Linked DNA regions of Oryctolagus cuniculus. The main gene of each other region encodes a partner of the protein of the gene in region 3 in a complex. Links are inferred from orthologs where the notes say so. Each region holds a gene or a part of one and is shown on either strand. Other genes may lie near its edges.

Region 1 (3,516 bases), on a different chromosome or scaffold from region 3:
GGAGCTTCTTCTTTTTTTTTTTTTTTTTTTGACAGGCAGATTGGACAGTGAGAGAGACAGAGAGAAAGGTCTTCCTTTGCTGTTGGTTCACACTCCAATGGCCGCTGTGGGTGGCGCGCTGTGGCCGGCGCACCGCGCTGATCCGATGGCAGGAGCCAGGTACTTATCCTGGTCTCCCATGGGGTGCAGGGCCCAAGCACATGGGCCATCCTCCACTGCACTCCCGGGCCATAGCAGAGAGCTAGCCTGGAAGAGGGGCAACCAGGACAGAATCTGGCGCCCCGACCGGGACTAGAACCCGGTGTGCCGGCGCCACAAGGCGGAGGATTAGCCTATTGAGCCACGGCGCCGTCCCCAGGAGCTTCTTCCGGGTCTCCCATGTGGGTGCAGGGGCCCAAGGACTTGCGTCATTTTCTCCTACTTTCCCAGGCCACAGCAGAGAGCTGGATTGGAAGAAGAGCAGCTGGGACTAGAACTGACACCCTTATGGCAGGGCTTTATCCCCCTGCGCCACAGCGCCAGCCAAGTTATATTTCTATTAAAATGGAAGCTGGGCATCCAGTCATACAGAAACAAATTGTATTTCCTTTCTGTGGGATGTATGATCTTTTGCTTCTTGTTTTTGTTTGATATGTCTGTATGTGAGGTGACTCTTGGCCTTTTAAATGATTTTTGGAGCTGTTTATATTTTAAAAAATTTATGTATTTGAAAGGCAGAGTGAAAGAGAGAGGGTGAAAAACAGAGTCACATCTTCCATCCATTGGTTCACTCCTCAAATGTCCACAATGGCTGGGTTGGTCCAGGTAGAAGCCAGGAGCCTGGAACTCCATCTCGGTCGTCCACGTGGGTGGCAAAGACCTAAGTACTTGGGTTATCCTTTTCTTTCTTCCCTGGCACTCCAATAGGGAAGTGGATCCAAAGAGGAGCATTAGGGGCTGGAATTGGCACTCTGATATGGGATGCCAGCTTCCCCAGCAGCAGCAACCAGATGTACTACAACAGTGGCTCCCTGCAGTGGGTTTTATAGAAACATCTACTGGGGCCAGTGCCATGGCGCAGTAGGTTAATCTTCTGCCTGCGGCACCAGCATCCCATATGGGCACTGGTTCTAGTCCTGGCTGCTCCTCTTCCAGTCCAGCTCTCTGCTGTGGCCTGGGAAAGCAGTGGAAGATGGCCCAAGTCCTTGGGCCCCTGCACTCATATGGGAGACTGGGAAGAAGCACCTGGCTCCTGGCTTTGGATTGGCGCAGCTCCAGCCATTGCGGCCATTTGGGGAGTGAACCAACGAACGGAAGACCTCTCTCTCTCTCTGCCTCTATCTGTAACTCTGTCTTTCAAATTAATAACCAATGGATGGAAGACCTTTCTCTCTGTTTTTCCCTCTCACTGTCTATAACTCTACTTCTCAAATAAATAAATAAATAAATAAAATCTTAAACAAAAAAAAGAAACATCTACCTACTTGAGATCAGGTGAATCCTGAAGGACAAGGAGTGGGCCACGTAATTTACGACTGAAGCCATGTCAAACTTAAATGGATTCTTTTAAAAAAAAAATTATTTGAAAGGCAGAATTACAGAGAGAGGAGAGACAGAGAGATAGTCTATCTATTGGTTCACTCCCCAGAAAGCTGCAACAGCCAGGAGCCAGGAGCTGCCTATTTATTTATTTATTTATTTATTTTAAGCTTTATTTATTTAGGGGCTGGTGCTGAGGTGCAGTGGGTTAAAGCCCTGACCTGAAGCACTGACATCCCATATGGGCGCTGGTTCTAGTCCCAGCTGCTCCTCTTCCAATCCAGCTCTCTGCTATGGCCTGGGAAAGCAGCAGAAGATGGCCCAAGTTCTTGGGCCCCTGCACCCACGTGGGAGACCCAGAAGAAGCTCCTGGCTCCTGGCTTCAGATCAGCCCAGCTCCGGCTGTTGTGGCCATCTGGGGAGTGAACCAGCGGATGGAAGACCTCTCTCTCTCTCTGTCTCTGCCTCTATCTGTAACTCTGTCTTTCAAATTAATAAAATAAATATTTAAAAAATTATTTATTTGAAAGGCATGATTACAGAGAGAGAGGAAGAGACACACACAGAGAGTTATCTTCCATCTGCTGGTTCACTCCCCAAAAGATGACAATAGCCAGAGCTGGGCCTGGCCAAACCCAGGAGCCAGAAGCTTCTTTTGGGTCTCCCACTTGGGTACAGGGGCCTAGCACTAGGGCCATGTTCTGGTGATTTTCCCAGGTCATTAGCAGGGAGCTGGATCGGAAGTGAGCAAACATGAACCAGGATGCTGCGTTGCAGGTGGTAGCTTTATTTGCTATACCACAACACTGGCCCCCTAATAAATACTTTCTTAACATTTCCTCTCCAGAATAGGTAACTTACTGAAGATTTTAAAGCCATCTCTCTGATTATGTAATGTTTTCTTAAGTACTCTTAACTCAGTGTTTGACCTGTGCCTAATCATTTCCACAAATTAATTCCTATCTAACTCAAAATTCTTCTACCACTGAGACATGAGATATGAAGTCGACATACAATATGCCACAGTGAATTGTTTCAGGAACTAGTCTGCCACTCTGTAGATTATACTCAATAAAATAAATGAAAGATTGGCAATATTTCATGTAAACAGCTAGTCAGTAAATATTTTAGGCTTTGCAGGCTACATATTATTTCTCACATTTTGTATGTTACTTTTTTTACAATGCTTTAAAAACACAAAAATCGTTCTTAGTTCATGGGGTATAGACAAACAGGCTACAGACTTGATTTGGCCCAGGTTGTATTTACACTAAGTAAGGCACCAAAATTAAAATGCTATGCTTTGTTTATCTGCATTATTACCTACTTGCACATAATCAATTCCAGGGCTTTCATTTGTAGGTGGTCCAACAGCCCCTTCAGCACATAACCTTTCACCCAGACAAAATTTTTTCCAGCCTTCTTCATCTTCAGACTTTGGCTAAGAGGAAAAAAAAAGGAATTAATTTTCCTGTACTTATTCTTTATAGTGAACGTTAAAAAAAGAATCGCCCTATTCTTACCAGCTCAACACAAATATATGGGGTCAGTTATGGGCAGAAATGTGTGCCCCAAAATTCATATATTGAGGCCCTAACTTCTTTTTTTTTTTTTTTTTTTTGACAGGCAGAGTGGACAGTGAGAGAGAGAGACAGAGAGAAAGGTCTTCCTTTGCCGTTGGTTCACCCTCCAATGGCCGCTGCGGCCGGCACGCTGTGGCCGGCGCACCATGCTGATCCGATGGCAGGAGCCAGGAGTCAGGTGCTTTTCCTGGTCTCCCATGGGGTGCAGGGCCCAAGCACTTGGGCCATCCTCCACTGCACTCCCTGGCCACAGCAGAGAGCTGGCCTGGAAGAGGGGCAACCGGGACAGAATCCGGCGCCCCGACCGGGACTAGAACCCGGTGTGCCGGCGCCGCTAGGTGGAGGATTAGCCTAGTGAGCCGCGGCGCTGGCCCATGAGGCCCTAACTTCTAATATCTCAGAAGGTGACTATATT
Region 2 (3,516 bases), on a different chromosome or scaffold from region 3:
CCCAAAGGCTGCGAAAAGAAAAGATCAAAATGTGGCAATATTTACTCATTTAATTTACTCATGTTAAGAAAACTTACAATGGACTATGACTATGCACAAAATTGTCATGGGGTTAAAATGAGTGTTGGTGAACTCTTTTAAGTTACACTTGTGACTCTTGTGATTCGGAAACTACTTCAAAATACAAGTCACTGATTAAAACCACAATACAGCCGGTGCCGCGGCTCAATAGGCTAATCCTCCGCCTAGCGGCGCTGGCACACCAGGTTCTAGTCCCGGTCAGGGAGCCGGATTCTGTCCCGGTTGCCCCTCTTCCAGGCCAGCTCTCTGCTGTGGCCAGGGAGTGCAGTGGAGGATGGCCCAAGTGCTTGGGCCCTGCACCCCATGGGAGACCAGCTACAGTCATTTCAAGTCCTAAATAACAGACACAGACAATTTTGGGTTCCTACACAATGGGAAATTGGAAGCTTGTTGGGGAAATCGACCGTACTAGCAAACAACTTAGCAAAACTATGTCACTAAAACACGTAAATCCTCATATCATCTATTTCAGCACTGCTGTAAACAGTGGTTCTTATACTGTTGTAGTGACTCATGGCAACTCTCTTTCCAAAAAACATGTGTATGTCAGTACCCAATATTTTGCATAAAATTTCAGTAGCTCCATGGACCACCCCCCGCACCCTTTAGCTAACTAGTCCCACAGACGTAGATTAAGAACTCCTGCTAGTAAAGGTGTCAATAGTCTTAATTAAGGGTCTTCTGAATTCTGCTCTGGCTATGCAATAGTAAATGGATAGCTCCACATAAATGTGACCTATGCGCATTTTAAAGTTCAGACCATTTTTCCTACATAATAGTAAAAATAATACTTAAAAGTAAAAACTTTTTTCAAACTTCAAATTATCAAAGAAAAATTACCTACCGAACAGTTTTATCATCAGCTGAAAGAATCTGTTTATCCTCACTGCACCATAAAGCCTTTTTAATACCAGATGTGTGACCACTGATTTCCTTAGGTTCTTAAGAAGAAAAAATTTTAAATATTGTTAATATTGAATTTTTTAAACCAAGCAAATTAGATAGGTAATAAGAAAAAGAAACACATTTTATGTTAGACTGCACCTTTTCTAAGTGCAGCCCAAAAAAGAATAATTTAGTTTTTCTATACTGGTTCCTTACAGAACAAAAATTTATCTGTACAACAAAGAATCCAAGAACAATGATGCCTGCCTTATTGCATTTGAGTAAATCAATAATAACTCTTTCTTGGCTAATTTTCTGTACAACTAGTAATGTTAAAAAATAGCACACTGTACCACAATGAAGTAATAACTAGTATGAATAACTAATGTGGCATAGTTTAAGAAGAACATGGGGCCGGCGCTGCGGCTCAATAGGCTAATCCTCCGCCTATGGCGCCAGCACCCTGGGTTCTAGTCCCGGTCAGGGCGCCGGATTCTGCCCTGTTTGCTCCTCTTCCAGTCCAGCTCTCTGCTGTGGCCCAGGAGGGCAGTGGAGGATGGCCCAAGTGCTTGGGCCCTGTACCCACATTAGGAGACCAGGAAGAAGCAGCTGGCTCCTGGCTTCGATCAGTGCAGCACACCGGCCGCAGCAGCCATTTGAAGAACATGGGCCCAGGAATAAGAAAACCAGAGCTAATCCTAGTGCTGCCATTAACCCTGTCACCTGCATCCAGACATTGTTGGTAGAAATTAAGAAGAAAAAAGACACTGGGGATAGGAGAAATGGGAAATAAAAACCAGCACAGCAATTTCCAGAAACGCTTCTACATTGAGAGGAAAGCAGTAAAAAAATAAAAAATAAATAATAAAAAAAAAAGGGAACCCATCTCTGTAGGAGAATTTCCCTTCAAAACATTTCAAAAAATCATCATCATCTCTAGGCAAAGGCAGCTACTGGAAGCAATGCCATTCAATAGTACTTCGACTTTGGGCACGTTACCTGTTTGAAACTGCATTTCTTCATCTGTAAACTGGGCTACAAAGTTAGGGCACCTCAGAGGCACTTTACATGGGTGTCACACAGCAAAACTTCAGTTAATTGCTACCATTTCTAGGTGGAAGAGCAACTCAAACAGAAGCTCGGGAAAGGTAAACGAGGATGAAAAACACCCACCCAAACCCTGAACTACCTTGCTGCAGCACATAGTTTCACTGATTAAAAGAGGCTGGAGAACTCTGCTTTGTTTTGGCATAGAGGTAGTAAAAAGAAAGCAGAGCAACACTCCTGGGTGCCAATGAATACAGAAATCTACAAATGCCTCACCCTAGAAATGCTTTTAGAAAGCAGTTCCCTCAGGCAAATAACTGCTTACTTTTCAATGTAGCTTTGAGGTACTTAGGAAATCTAATAGATAGTAATTACTACATAATAAGTGAAACAAAATTTGGTTTATCATGTTTCGGTAGCTTTTAAACTATACTTGTATTTACAGCTAGGAAATCATTACAATACTACAAAAATGGAGGTAACTATCTCAACTGTGTAAGAAGAAATGCCTACAAATTCTGTACGACGACAGTTCATAGAGGAAATGACAGCTCCTGCCACCAAAATGTTAAAAATGTATATGCCTAGGTATATATCAAAGCCTTCTTAATGAAATTTAAAACCAAATGGCAAATTAGGATGCAATAAAGAACCTTCGAAAGCCAGTAAGTTCTCTTTATCTCCATCTGTCTCTGTAATTCTGCCTTTCAAATTAAATAAACAAATCTTAAACTAATACAAATTTTAATAAAAGGCCTGACATTGTGGTACAGGCATTAAGCCATGGCCTCAACACCAGCATATCATACAGGAACTGGGCTGCTCCCCTTATGAATCAGCTCCCTGCTACTGTGTCTGGAAAAGCAAAAGATGGGTCAAGTATTTGGGTCCCTGCATGTGGGACACTGAGACGGAGCTATGGACTCCTGGCTTCAGTGATCATTTGGGGAGTGAACCAGTAGATGGAAATCTCTGTCTCTTTCTCCCTCTGTCACTCTACATTTCAAACTAATAATTAAAAAAAAAAAAGAAAAAGATTATCTGCATAGGAAATCTGGAATGATATGAAACCAAAGCTAAAGGTATTAAAAGTGTTGAATACTAGATGATGGATTATGTTTTAATTTTCTTTCTTATGACTAGCTTCCAAATTTTAGTACTCTTTTAATCAAAGTTATTTACATTAAAATGAAATAAAACTATAAACTCATACATTAATTATGCTTACCTGCTTCAGGTTTGTTCAAATCATATATGCGTAACAGTTTATCCTGTCCACCAGTTAACAAATAATTACTATCCTGAAAAGACAAATAAAATGTTAACAGATGATCCATTTAAGAATGTTTCTCTCAAACTTCCTCAATACCAAATAAAATCTTATAGCTCACAGACATCACAAAGACATGCCACACACAAGCAATTACTTCTGAGAGAACACTATAGAACAGTTGCCCTTCTCTTAACTGTCAAACCCCTTAGGCTTCACAGTACAAATGTGTT
Region 3 (4,154 bases):
TGGTCAGTTGAAGAAATTAGGGGTCTAGGGCCACAGCCTCTCTAGAGACCAAGTTGCTGATCTCAGGACAGGCGTGTGCCATGAGTCTCCTCCCAGCCCTGACAAACAGCTCCCATGTTCTGGGCATGGGAGGCTGGGACGGGCACTCAGAACCATGCCGAGAGGAGAGCCAGGGGAGTGGGCTTCTCGGCCCCAAGCCCCCCTTCCACGAGCAGTCGCAGGCACGTGGTCTAAGGGGTTTATTGATGCCCAGCCGTCCCCGCCCCCCTCCAGGGCACTGGAGAAGCACACTCCCTGCCAGGGGAGCCGTGCCGCTTCCCTAGCCAGCCTCAGTTTTCTTCAGCTCTTCCACTTTGGCCACGTAGTTCCTCATGGCATCCATCTTGGACATGCCTTTATTCTTGTTCCACGCCTCCCACTTGGCCGTGGCTTTCACTTCCGACGTAGGAGGCTCGGGGATGTTGCAGTCGCCCTGGGTGGCCTGTTTATAGAGGCTGTACAGCTGCAGCTTCTCCTGATCGCTCATGGGGTTCTTCAGCTGCTTCACGGCCGCGCACGCCAACTCGAACTCTACCTGGCACATTGCCATGCCTGAGGCGCGGCCCCTCTGGCCTTCCTAGCCGGCGCAGGAGCTGCGGGGGGAAGAGTTAGAAACACGTGAGGCCAGTAACGAGGTCTTGGCTAGAAAGGAAAGGGAGACGGCACTGTGTCTGTTCAGGTGTATGGTTTTTTTGTTTGTTTGTTTGTTTTGTTTTTTGACAGGCAGAGTTAGGGAGAGACAGAGAGAAAGGTCTTCCTTCCGTTGGTTCACCCCAAATGGCCGCTATGGCCGGCGCTGCGCTGATCCGAAGGCAGGAGCCAGGTGCTTCTCCTGGTCTCCCATGGGGTGCAGGGCCCAAGCACTTGGGCCATCCTCCACTGCGCTCCCTGGCCACAGCAGAGAGCTGGCCTGGAAGAGGAACAACGGGGACTAGAACCTGGGGTACCGGCGCCGCAGGTGGAGGATTAGCCAAGTGAGCCGAGGCGCCGGCCTCAGGTGCATGTTTTTATCAGTATGGGTGAACTGTGTGCGGGACATACCCGCGCTCCTGTCCTGCGGGACGGTGACTACGAGGCCGGGGGCTCCTGCACAGCACCGACTGGGACCTAGGAAGCCAGGTGGGTGGCCCGGCGGAGCACGCGGCGGGAGAGGAAGACCCCCGGAACCTGCCTGCTGGCTGGAGGGAGGCCTCGGGCCGGGAGGGGGCGCTGTGGGCTTGGCGGCCAAGGCGCCGCGAGCTCTCTGGTGAGGAGCGCGCGTGCGCGCGCAGCGGCGGGAGTCGGCGGCGAACGGCGCGAGAGCGGCGGCAGAGGCCGTGGGCGGGGCCTGCCGCCCCCCGCGCCGCCCATTGTGCGGTGGCGCCTGCGCCGCGCTCCTGGCTTTCGAGGGGGAGGGGCGGCCTGGCGCCCCCCGCGCCACCTCCCGCTTCGCCGCCATGGACCTAGGTGGGTGCCCCGGTTACGCTGCCCCGGGCCGGCCCGCGACGCGCCGCCTCCCGCCGCGCACGCCCGGCGGGCTCGGGCTCGGGCTCCTGGGGCCCTCGTGGTCGGGAGGGGCTGAGGAGGATCCAGGGCGTCCTTAGAGCGGGAGGGCGGCGGCGAGGCCGGGCGCAGCGCTCCTGAGCCGGCCTCCTGCGCCCTCCGGTCCCGCGTCGTACGTGAGAAGCGGAGCGGCGGTAAAGCGAGGTGTCCCGGGAGCGACGGGCTTAGCGCACGTGCAGGGGGCCATGCCGGCCTCGCTAGCTGAGCGTCCGCGGAGTTGCTCAGCGAGTTGCTCACCCACTGGCGTTCCCTGCCGGATAACGTGGGTGTGACGACACCGCGCCGCCCTCGCCGAGTGGCCGGGAGTAAACTTTGGGATCGCCGGGTGCGGAGTGCCCCTGCCGCGGGGCCTGGGCGGAGGCGCGCGGCTGCGGAAGCCCTGCTTTCTTCTGATCTGGGATCCGCTGGCTCAGTGCCCAGATGCCCTGGCACTCAGTCCAGGTCTCCCACTCGGGTGCAGGCACCCAAGTGCTTGAGCCATCACCTGTTGCCTCCCCCGGTGTACATGGTCCGGAAGCCGGATAGGAAGCGGAGCCGGGATTCGAACCCGGGCACTTGGGTCTGGGACGTGGGTGTCCCACTTGGAATATGGTGCTCTTTGAACCTGCCTGCCTGTTGGTTGAGAATCCTGGCAAGGTCTGGAAAAAAGGGAGGGAGGACCTAATAGAAGTCAGTGGCTCCTGCCAAGTGTCCCCACCTGTGGGATATGCCCTTAAACTCGGGTTGAGCCCGGGAGGCAGCTTGAGAAACGCTGATAGTAGTATGGTGTGGAGCAGGGTTTGAGTCTGTCCCCCAGCCAGCTCCTCGTGGTGGTGGAATGACAGATTGGGAAGGGGCATCCCTGCAGCTGTGGCGAATTTTTTTTTTTTTTTTTTTAAGATTTATTTATTTGAGGCTGGCGCCGTGGCTCACTAGGCTAATCCTCTGCCTGTGGCGCCGGCACCCTGGGTTCTAGTCCCGGTTGGGGCGCCGGATTCTGTCCTGGTTGCCCCTCTTCCAGTCCAGCTCTTTGCAGTAGCCCGGGAAGGCAGTGGAGGATGGCCCAGGTCCTTGGGCCCTGCTCCCGCATGGGAGACCAGGAGAAGCACCTGGCTCCTGGCTTCAGATCGACGCAGCACGGCGGCCATAGCGGCCATTTTGGGGGTGAACCAACGGAAAAAGGAAGACCTTTTTCTCTCTCTCTCTCACTGTCTAACTCTGCCTGTCAAAAAAAAAAAAAATTATTTATTTGAAAGGCAGAGTTAGGGAGAAACAGAGAGAGATCGTCCATTCACTGATTCACTCCCCAAATGGCGGCAATGGCTGGGGCTGAGCTAGGCTGAAGCCGGAAGCTTCTTCCAGGTCTCCCACGTGAGTGCAGGGGCCAAAGGACTTGCCCATCTTCCGCTGCTTTCCCAGGTGCATGGTGGGGAGGGCCTCAAACCATTAAGTCACAGTGCCACTGCTTTGTGGTGGTGACACCCTGAGCAAAATACCTGAACATCAACCTCTAAAACAGGAATAGTCCTCAGAAGGTTATTTTGAAGATTAAAAGAGACCTTCCATGTGTACCAGCTAGCACGGTGCCTGGTGTGCGCGGGCACTTAGCAAACATCAGAAGTGGGCACCAGTTAACCATTAGTGATAAAACACTTGGGTTTTTCCCAGTTGCTAACTGTTCCTGGGGCTTGTTCAGGGAGCACTTGGACATTCCTGTGTCTGTTGGGGACCACGCATCTGCTCTGCTGAGCTGATAGTGCGATAAAATTACACTGAGAAGAGTCACAGGTTGGCCGGCGCCGCGGCTCACTAGGCTAATCCTCTGCCTGTGGCGCCGGCACCCCAGATTCTAGTCCAGTTGGGGCACCAGTTCTGTCCTGGTTGCTCCTCTTCCAGTCCAGCTCTCTGCTGTGGCCCAGGAGGGCAGCGGAGGATGGCCCAAGTGCTTGGGCCCTGCACCCGCATGGGAGACCAGGAGGAAGCACCTGGCTCCTGGCTTCGGATCGGCGCAGCGCGCCGAGAAGAGTCACAGGTGAGGAGCCAGCATTTTGGCGTAGCAGGCAGAGCCACTGCCTGCCACACCAGTTCATGTCCCAGCTGCTCCACTTTCAATCCAGCTCCGGACTGATGGCCTGGGAAGAGCAGTGGGAGGAGACCCAGATGAAGCTGCTGTCTTCAGCCTGGCCCGGTGCTGGCCAGAGTGTTCAGTAGGGAGCATACTTTGGGGCTGTGGGAGAGCTGTGGCTGGAGAGAAGAGCCATTGCCCCAGGCAGATCCTTGAGCTCCTCCGCTGAAGGAGGGGGTCTGCCTAGGCGCGGGGGGCCTTCCCAGCCAGGGCGCGGGGGAGTCTCCTCCCTGGGCCTTCCGCCGCCCTTGCAGGGCTGTGTGATTCAGTGTTCCCCATTCAGCATCTTCTCTGCTGGCGTCTGCCCTGTGAAATGGTGAAGAGGTGCTCTTGGGGCTTGGGGGACTGTGCAAGGGCTTGCATCTCTGGGTCCTGGGAAGGGGCGGAGTCAGTGCTGGACAGTGAGCAGTGTTTGCAGTCTGAATTTAGTTCCTGGGCCCGAAGTAACGGACCTGATAAAGACCCGTGT

Evidence for each region. The genes of interacting proteins can lie anywhere in the genome.
Region 1: GEMIN4 (region 3) and GEMIN2 share a complex: the UniProt entries of both Homo sapiens proteins name them as parts of the SMN-Sm complex. The link is inferred for Oryctolagus cuniculus from reciprocal best matches to the Homo sapiens genes GEMIN4 and GEMIN2.
Region 2: GEMIN4 (region 3) and STRAP share a complex: the UniProt entries of both Homo sapiens proteins name them as parts of the SMN-Sm complex. The link is inferred for Oryctolagus cuniculus from reciprocal best matches to the Homo sapiens genes GEMIN4 and STRAP.

Annotation. Positions count from the first base shown.
Region 1 is NC_091443.1:36,521,829-36,525,344, forward strand, and holds part of GEMIN2 (gem-associated protein 2), read right to left. Parts: intron 2,960-3,516; coding exon 2,846-2,959; intron 1-2,845. UniProt on the Homo sapiens protein: The SMN complex catalyzes the assembly of small nuclear ribonucleoproteins (snRNPs), the building blocks of the spliceosome, and thereby plays an important role in the splicing of cellular pre-mRNAs.
Region 2 is NC_091440.1:113,725,389-113,728,904, reverse strand, and holds part of STRAP (serine-threonine kinase receptor-associated protein), read right to left. Parts: intron 3,315-3,516; coding exon 3,242-3,314; intron 1,023-3,241; coding exon 926-1,022; intron 9-925; coding exon 1-8. UniProt on the Homo sapiens protein: The SMN complex catalyzes the assembly of small nuclear ribonucleoproteins (snRNPs), the building blocks of the spliceosome, and thereby plays an important role in the splicing of cellular pre-mRNAs.
Region 3 is NC_091448.1:46,442,206-46,446,359, forward strand, and holds the start of GEMIN4 (gem-associated protein 4), read left to right. Parts: upstream 1-1,352; 5' UTR 1,353-1,475; coding exon 1,476-1,485; intron 1,486-2,446; exon of another isoform or gene 2,447-3,592; intron 3,593-4,154. Other genes in the region: diazepam-binding inhibitor-like 5, read right to left, coding at 320-589. UniProt on the Homo sapiens protein: The SMN complex catalyzes the assembly of small nuclear ribonucleoproteins (snRNPs), the building blocks of the spliceosome, and thereby plays an important role in the splicing of cellular pre-mRNAs.